2 linked regions of the Arabidopsis thaliana genome follow. The protein of the gene in region 1 interacts with the protein of each later gene in a pairwise test. Each region holds a gene or a part of one and is shown on either strand. Other genes may lie near its edges. The genes, in order: AT3G11580 and AT1G63840.

The links.
Region 2: the proteins of AT3G11580 (region 1) and AT1G63840 interact in a two-hybrid assay, tested with the Arabidopsis thaliana proteins (one large-scale study listed by BioGRID).

What each region holds. Positions count from the first base shown.
Region 1 is NC_003074.8:3,648,218-3,653,579, reverse strand, and holds AT3G11580 (AP2/B3-like transcriptional factor family protein), read left to right. Parts: upstream 1-2,090; 5' UTR 2,091-2,308; coding exon 2,309-2,885; coding exon of another isoform or gene 2,886-3,001; exon of another isoform or gene 3,002-3,527; coding exon 3,528-4,066; 3' UTR 4,067-4,361; coding exon of another isoform or gene 4,362-4,415; 3' UTR 4,416-4,620; downstream 4,621-5,362.
Region 2 is NC_003070.9:23,688,989-23,692,559, reverse strand, and holds AT1G63840 (RING/U-box superfamily protein), read left to right. Parts: upstream 1-1,752; 5' UTR 1,753-2,068; coding exon 2,069-2,569; 3' UTR 2,570-2,957; downstream 2,958-3,571.

The sequences.
Region 1 (5,362 bases):
TTTATATCACTTATTTTGAATCGATTAAGTGTGAGGAGAGGAGTGAAACACGTCAAATATAACGAATCTTATATCTTTGTTTTTTTTCTTTTATTCTTACAATTATCTTGGAATTTGGAAACCCTAGTTGTTTCGGCTATTTGTTATACTATTGTTATAACAGTCACAAGACTTGACCTCAACGAAAACTTTTACAAAACGTGAATTGGAAATTTTTACAAAATATGCTCTTAATCGTTAATGCTTCCCAATTAGGTGAGTTAAATTGTGAGAGGAACCATTTCTTAGAGGAAATGGTTCATGAAAACAAATATGAAATAGTATCACTAGTCTTAGTTTTGCGAGAAAATTAGGAAAAATAGAAACGTGTAAGCACCAATGATATTCCTGAAAGCACGTGACAGATATTTCATGATCCTATAATTAACAAGTGATAAAGATATTAAATAAAATTAACGATACTTGAGAAATTCGTCAAATAAAATAGAAGAGGACCACTCACGTAACCATTTGCACGTCCCATTGATTTTTGTGGTAGACTTGGTATGTTATATTACTTATATTCACAGAATTATATACGAAACTCACGACTTAAGATGCACGGTAATAACTACAGATGGAAATTTACCCATCAAACAAGAAAACAACATTTACTCAAGCATCTAGCTAGACCAAAATGTTTGTTTACTTGTTGACTTGCGATCCATAGATATATTAGTTAGAACTTTTTCTTCTACAATTGATCAAATGTTTCACACTGTTCTCAATTTCTCATCTAGATTCATGACTTATATGTTTGGTCAAATATCACAGCTTGATGAGCATTAAATAGCGTCGAAGTATAGGATGGTTACGTTGTTCAATATTGTAAAGGAAAAAAAGAGAAAGAGTGCCAAAAGGTCAAGTCGATTTCACAAATAAATCTTGAAGTCTTTATCCCTCTCGATTATAAAATGATTAGGAAAAGAAAAAGAGAGAATAAAATGTAGATAAAGAGAAAGAGAAAGAGAGAGAGGAACATAAGGGATGGTATGAAGTAGAAGTGAAGATGCATGCGATGGTGTGTCGGAAAGGCAAAGCACATGCTACACAACTTGAGCTTCTCACTTGCGTCAGGGATAAGTATCCTCTGTACCTTCTTACTTTTGCGTAATATGTACCACCTCACTTCTCAACCGTTTGATCTTTAATCCTTCATTATTTCTTCATTACCTTCTCTTTTTGTTTTTGTTTTCGTTTTCAATTTCTCATAGATTCATTTACAAACTAAATATCATAGGAAGGTGTTATCTCTAGTTAATTTCTTATCCTACTTTAACAAAATTTAATTGTCAAAAGATTATTTTTACGTTTATAGACAAAAGATACTGACACATCAATTCCACGAACCAAATGGTTGAGAAAAACAAAACGACTATCTTTGTCTTGCAAATAAATTAATGGCAGTTAGTAAGATTCTCAGCTGAAAATTCATACAAGAGTAAATGATCAAATAACCATTTATGAGAGAAATTTAATCCTTCAGAAACCAATGAGGATCTGATCAAGTAATTGCAAACCACATGAGTCCATGATAAAGGATTGTTTGACTTACGCAATCCACATATTTATGGCTGCTTGATATGTAAGGTTTATCTGCTTTGACAGTCTATAGAATCTTGCTAATCAATACGTCATATCCGGTGAATACTGAAACTTTTTTAATTAAGAAAACACAAATCATCTTTTCTCCGGAGGATTTCGAATTTAGTTCCGGCAATGCTGAAATAACATATGTTGAACTTATAACATTCCAAGACATCAAATTTTACTAATATATAAATAATTACATATTCTTCTTCTACATGATCAAAACCTTTTCAACTTTAATTAAAGGGTTACGTCGCGGCGTTTTGTGTGGCTTACTCTTTTTTTACACTATAACTATAGAACACTCGTGGATCCAATGCCGTTTAGGACAAGATTTTATCAGACGAGAAAAAAAAAAACAATACCACATTTTTAAATATATATGGATTATGGACTGCAACAACAATATAGAAAAGAAGAGAAAAAAATAAAAATAATGATTGAAAGGAAATATCATCACGCAAAACCTTAAAAGTACTATCGGTATCGTGTCGTCCTCTCCTCATCAAATAGTTCCCACAGTTTTCACATCAATTTAACCATTTTCAATTTTTTTCACTCTCTGTCTCTCTCCTTTGTATAATACTATATTAGTACCATTACCCATCTCTCTTTCACCACCAAACCAACACCTGCAAATCCTCTCTCTCTCTCTCACTCCAAGAAACCAAAAAAAAAGATGTCAGTCAACCATTACCACAACACTCTCTCGTTGCATCATCACCACCAAAACGACGTAGCTATAGCACAACGAGAGTCTTTGTTCGAGAAATCACTCACACCAAGCGACGTCGGAAAGCTAAACCGCTTAGTCATACCAAAACAACACGCCGAGAAATACTTCCCTCTCAATAATAATAATAATAATGGCGGCAGCGGAGATGACGTGGCGACGACGGAGAAAGGGATGCTTCTTAGCTTCGAGGATGAGTCAGGCAAGTGTTGGAAATTCAGATACTCTTATTGGAACAGTAGCCAAAGCTACGTGTTGACCAAAGGATGGAGCAGGTACGTCAAAGACAAACACCTCGACGCAGGCGACGTTGTTTTCTTTCAACGTCACCGTTTTGATCTCCATAGACTCTTCATTGGCTGGCGGAGACGCGGTGAAGCTTCTTCCTCTCCCGCTGTCTCCGTTGTGTCTCAAGAAGCTCTAGTTAATACGACGGCGTATTGGAGCGGCTTGACTACACCTTATCGTCAAGTACACGCGTCAACTACTTACCCTAATATTCACCAAGAGTATTCACACTATGGTAAATTCAAACCCTTTATTTCCTCTTTTGTTTTTTCTTTCTCTCTTATCTATATGTCAGATTTATACTCCTCTCTGTTCTCTTTTAAGATTTGTCTTTTTCATAAAAATAGATGATTCGTAATTTGTATTGCATATTTACATGTTCTCTTAAAAAAAGTAATAGAGATTAATATTTTATGCATGGTATTTTAGATTATCTGCCTACTTTATATGGTAGTAAACAAGAACATTCATCTTTATTTGGTTTTATAAACAAAATATGAGAATTTTTAAAGGTTAGGGCAAGCACTTGGAAAGCTCAACCATTTTAGTTAGCTGGTGGAATATCTTTCTTATAAAAAGCAAATGAGTTATCTAAAACTATATGACAATTATTTTAGTTGCGTGTGTAATGTATATAAAATAACAACATGAAATAACATTTTGTCTTTTATTTTTGTCATTCTTATTATTTAATTTTGGACCCGACAATTTCAAATAATCTTCTCCAAGTTGTAACTAATCCGTTACATGCGCGTGAGGAGAACCGTCCAATCCACTTAGACTAACGTGCCCTTTATTTCTTCCTTTTAATTCTATGTTAAAAAAACAATTTAACTAAAAGATGCGCACGTGTCTTGACGGTGGAAAAAAATTGTAGGCGCCGTCGTTGATCATGCTCAGTCGATACCACCGGTGGTCGCAGGTAGCTCGAGGACGGTGAGGCTTTTTGGCGTGAACCTCGAATGTCATGGTGATGCCGTCGAGCCACCACCGCGTCCTGATGTCTATAATGACCAACACATTTACTATTACTCAACTCCTCATCCCATGGTAAATATTTTTTTTTTTTACATTTTTGTCAGATTCAAATTTTTGCTTACGTATGATATAATTATTAAACAGATGTCGTGGCTGTTTCTCGAGACGAGACAGATGAAAATTAGTAATTTTAAAATAGACCTGAAAGAGATTTTTATGTTTAATAAATTATATAAAGGAGGAATCAGAGAGAATAATACTATACACTTGACTGTAAAACCACATGGCCAATTTGGTTTTTATTTGATTACTTTGATTTGTTTTGTTTACTCTTTTGTCTCTGTAGCCTCCTTTTGTTCATTAATTAATATCAGCCGTAAGTATATAGTTTCCTGTGAAAACAGTCTCTATTTTGGTTTTACTATTCTAATTTGTTAGGCACCGTCAGTTTTTTTTGTGAAACCAAATTATTGACTAATAAGCTGGAAAGCAAAACTGACTAAAAGCATTACAAACTTATCAATGACATAAGTTTTGAATTTATTACCATGTTTTGTAATGTTCAGATATAATTTGAAATGCTTAGAATTATATATTTGTATACTTAAATTAATGAAATAAAGTGAATACTAAAGATAGTTTTATTTTTCATATTATTCTATACAATTCGGTGTACAATTTGTTTTTGATGATAATAAAAATAATAAAATTGCGTGTTGGAATTGTGAAACAGAATATATCATTTGCTGGGGAAGCATTGGAGCAGGTAGGAGATGGACGAGGTTGATGACTGACATTCAAAAAGAAGTGACAACTTTCTAGATTTTTAACTTTAGAATTTAGATTATGGGCCCATACTTGGCCCAATTGTCATAGAGAAAAAATGGACAAGAATTAATATTATTAGTAGCTTCGTTATGTATTTAGTATTTAACTAATTTGAAAATAAAAATAAAAGATGAGATTTTGTTTCTATTGTACATTTGAGTCAGAACAGAAAAAAAAAGTATATGCAAAAGATGTGAATTAGTGTGGGTTTATAGTAGTTGATATTTGAAGGCTAAAATAAAACCAATGAAAGCTTTCTATAGCACAAAAGTCATTTGAGGGCAGGTACCCCAAATTGGTGAGCTAGGCCTAGGCTAAACCTTATACACATGTAGCATGTATTTGATGATGAAAGATGAATTGGGAACTGTTGAGAGATTCATGTGAGGAGATTACGAGAAGAAAAGGTGTGGGCCTAATTACGAATGATTAAAGAAGAGAGAGCATATTCATATATAGCATGTGTGTAAATATATAGGTTGTGTTACATCGCCTTTTATCTCTTTTCCAAAGCCAAAGCCAGGGACCATTTTATTTGTTGCTGTGTTACTTACACTCTTCTTTTGATTCTCTATTTTGTTTTTGCATTACAAAGACAGTGTAAAAGGAATATGAATCATTTTTACAAGCTATGACAAAAATGGGTTTAGGTCCCAATTCTTTCTATGCATTTATGTTTGTCTTCGTGTTTCTGCATATATATGAGTGTATTGGTAAATGGTAAGTGGCAACACAAACGCAAGTTTCTGTTTCTATATATGATTAAAACATTCTAAAACGGCAACACAAACACAAGCATAAACACAAACAAACAATCATGACTTTTAGTCTTCTTTATTCTCTATTTTTTTTTTGTTTTTTTTTTAATTCTCTAATTCTTGTTTCTCCTCTTCTCTCTGTTCTTTG
Region 2 (3,571 bases), on another chromosome or scaffold:
TAGATCCCTTAATATTGTATTCTAGAAGTATATTTGACATAACGGAATCAAAAGCCAAATTGAAGAGCTATGTGGACTTTTCTACGTAATTAATTTAGGTCTTAATATACTTAGTATACACTCTCAAAATGCTAGTAATTAATATAGCAAATGACGAATATGTAGATTGATGATAGTTCAACTAGTCATGTAATGATGTGAAGATACAAACATAATATGCATTTGAACTCAAATCCTATCAACCATAAGTAACATTTGGGTACCCATATTTATACCAAAACGTAACAGCCAATTAAAAAATCTGGTAAAATTTCATAGAAAACGACGTAATCGTGATACCTTTGTTTACTACTAATCTTGATACTTTATGATTTACATCCATGTGAAAATAAAATCATGTAGACCAAAAATTTCTCATACAAAAACATTAAAAATAGAAATAATGGTTTTGCAATATTTTGTTAAAACAGTTAATTTTTTTAAAAAAATACACACGTATATATTCATAGTTTATATACTTTATAGGCTTATAGCATAGTTCAATAGAGGTACAGACAAACTGAAAAGAAATGAACCTAACTATCTGTCTTCACCTCGATTATTTGTCGTCTGTCTGACTATTTTAATTTAATTCTAATAATTTATGAATGTGACTAGTTTGGCTTATAGGCAAAGATCAATTTTTAGAGTGGGGTTATTGAATATTGTATTCTAACGGAATTGTATGTATTTTCAAAGACACGGTGACATCCACTGTCATTCAATTTCTATTTGATTTTGTTACATTTGAGTTTCAATGTATTATTTTGTCTAAATCACGAGTAAAACAAATACGAGCCTTTTATCTCTGATTTTGATGTATTTCTCATAAAAATTATAAACAAAATAATTATTCCCAAAATTGTTTTATTTCTCTTTCATCTAACAAAGAGATAAAGAATCAGAAGCATTTTGAGAACAATATAATGGCGAAGAAACTGCAAGATCCACCGATGGCATCTTCAAAATGGAGCCTTCGGCTTTGGAGGAGGAAGATCGTATTTTAAGAACAGAAATTCGATCATTCATCCAGATCTGATCCCTTATGTTGCAGTTCCCACTCTCTTTTTTTCTTTTCTTTTTTGCCATTTATGATGCAGTGACTCTTTGAACATGAGTGAAGTTCAAAGAGAACTCAGTCAAAATCCATACCAATTAACGATTAACACATTACAACGTAATACATAAGTCGTGTATTGTAGTGACTTTGTCAAAATCCAAATTCAGTTACGCTAAAATACATTGAAAACATCAATCCAATAATTTTGAACCAAAGATTCAAATAAAAACACGATTTTTTTTATTTTGTAATCGAACGATTTTGAACCAAAGTATAGACTAATTAATATTTGGGATTTTTAGAAAAGTTTAATATATTTAAACCCTCATGGGTTAACCTAGGTATGAGTTTTTTTTTTTCATTTGTAATATGTTGATTATGTGTATTCTTGGGTGCTATAAGCAGAAGTTACATTTCTGTCTCCGTATACCGTATTAAAAATAATGTATACTCAATTGTAAATATCTTTGATTATGTCATTATGTATTTCATGTATACATGTCTTTTCTCCTAAAACTTTTATACCACTTCATAAATCAAGAATTGTAAGAAAGTTAAAATTAAATAAACAGAAATTTAGTGTTTAAATCTGATTTAAAATGGAAATTTGAAAGTAACGAGTTTATTATATAGTAAAATACATATAAGAAATTATTTAAAACCCTTATTTAAATTATATAGAAAAAAAAAAGGTCAAGTAGTCTTCTATTATTTACTAGTATAACCTCTAGAAACATCATCACCACATTCCTGGCTAATATCCTTCATCTAGAACAATTATTAACGAATCAAAATACCAAAAAACAAAGCACCTCATTGACTATTAAATTAGTACTAATACATTAATTAAGTTATTATTCCTATATATAAATCTCACCCATTCTCCACCTTATCATCACAATCCAAAACTCTCTCTCTCTCTCTCTCTCTGTCTCTTGTCTTATCATTTATCTCTCTAACGGCGAGGCAATGGGTTTTCCGGTGGGATATTCTGAGCTACTTCTCCCAAAAATCTTTTTCTACTTGTTATCTTTCTTAGGTTTGATACGTAAACTCATCTCCACAATGTTCAAGATCATTGGTCTACCAGATTTCTTAGAACCTGAACCGGTTTCAACCTCATGGCCCGACCCACCACCCACGTTGACCAAACCTGACTCAGCAGCAATACTAGCCGGAGAGATGTTACCGGTTGTTCGATTCTCGGATATAAACCGACCGGAATCCGAGTGTTGCGCAGTGTGTCTCTACGATTTCGAGAACGACGACGAGATCCGACGGCTGACGAATTGTCGACATATATTTCATCGGGGATGTTTGGACCGTTGGATGATGGGTTATAATCAGATGACGTGTCCACTTTGTCGTACACAGTTTATACCTGATCATCTTCAACTGGAGTTTAATCAAAGGCTCTGGTCTCAATCTTCTGCTGTTTCTTCTCAACTTCTTGATGAATCATCATCTTAGGACGTATTAAATCTTTGTCCAAACAAAAAAAAAAGACATATTAAATCCTTTTTTTTTGGTACTTTCATTGGGAATTGGGTTTGGTGTGAGATCGATGTAAATATTAAACAAAAAAAAAAAGGTAGTGGTTACAGGTTAATGAAAAAAGAAAGAAGAAGAAAATTTGTACTTATCCATCCCTGAAAGATGAAATTACATTTTGAGTTATTATAAAGTTGTAAACTTTTTTTTTTTGTTAAGGAAAAAAAAAATCATTTGCTATAACAGATTAATACTGAATGTGTTAGTTTTTTAGTACAGTATTTTAATAAACATTGTTTAGAAGTTATTTTTTAATTGTTACTTGTTCACCTGGCTAACTCAATGATACTGACATATTGTTTTTTGATTAAAGGCTTACATCAATGATATCTTTCTTTTATAATTTAAAATCAACAAGCATTATGCATAGGTCATTGAAGATAAGATTGTTTGTTCATCCCTATAACATGCTGAACTAATATATTTCAACATGTATTTGAGGGTATTTGAAATGTTCTATAAGTGGTAATAACAAAACTGAAGTCGGAAACCGATATGATTATTCCCCACAAGTGCTAACATCATGTATTTAGGTTCTCATCCGATGACATGTCTTGAAAGAAGCAAAAATTAATGGCGAAATCGTCATGAATATAGATATATCTTGGACATTGCATTTGACTTTTGTTTGATCACGTCTCTCACAAAGGAGCTTGGTGTGTCCTTTACGATTTATCATGTGATCTATTGTGACAATGCTGGAGCTATCTATCTATGGGATAATCATTTTGTTTCATTCTTGTTTGAAACATGTGGCACTTGACTATCATTTTATCCTAATCATGTTTTTCACTCCCGGTTTCTTATGTATTGTTCATATTTCGTCAAAAGATCAATTAGCAGATACATTCACCATATTTTTTGCTTACTATATTTTGCTACTTGTTTTGACAAAATAAGCTAACCTATATCTATCATTTA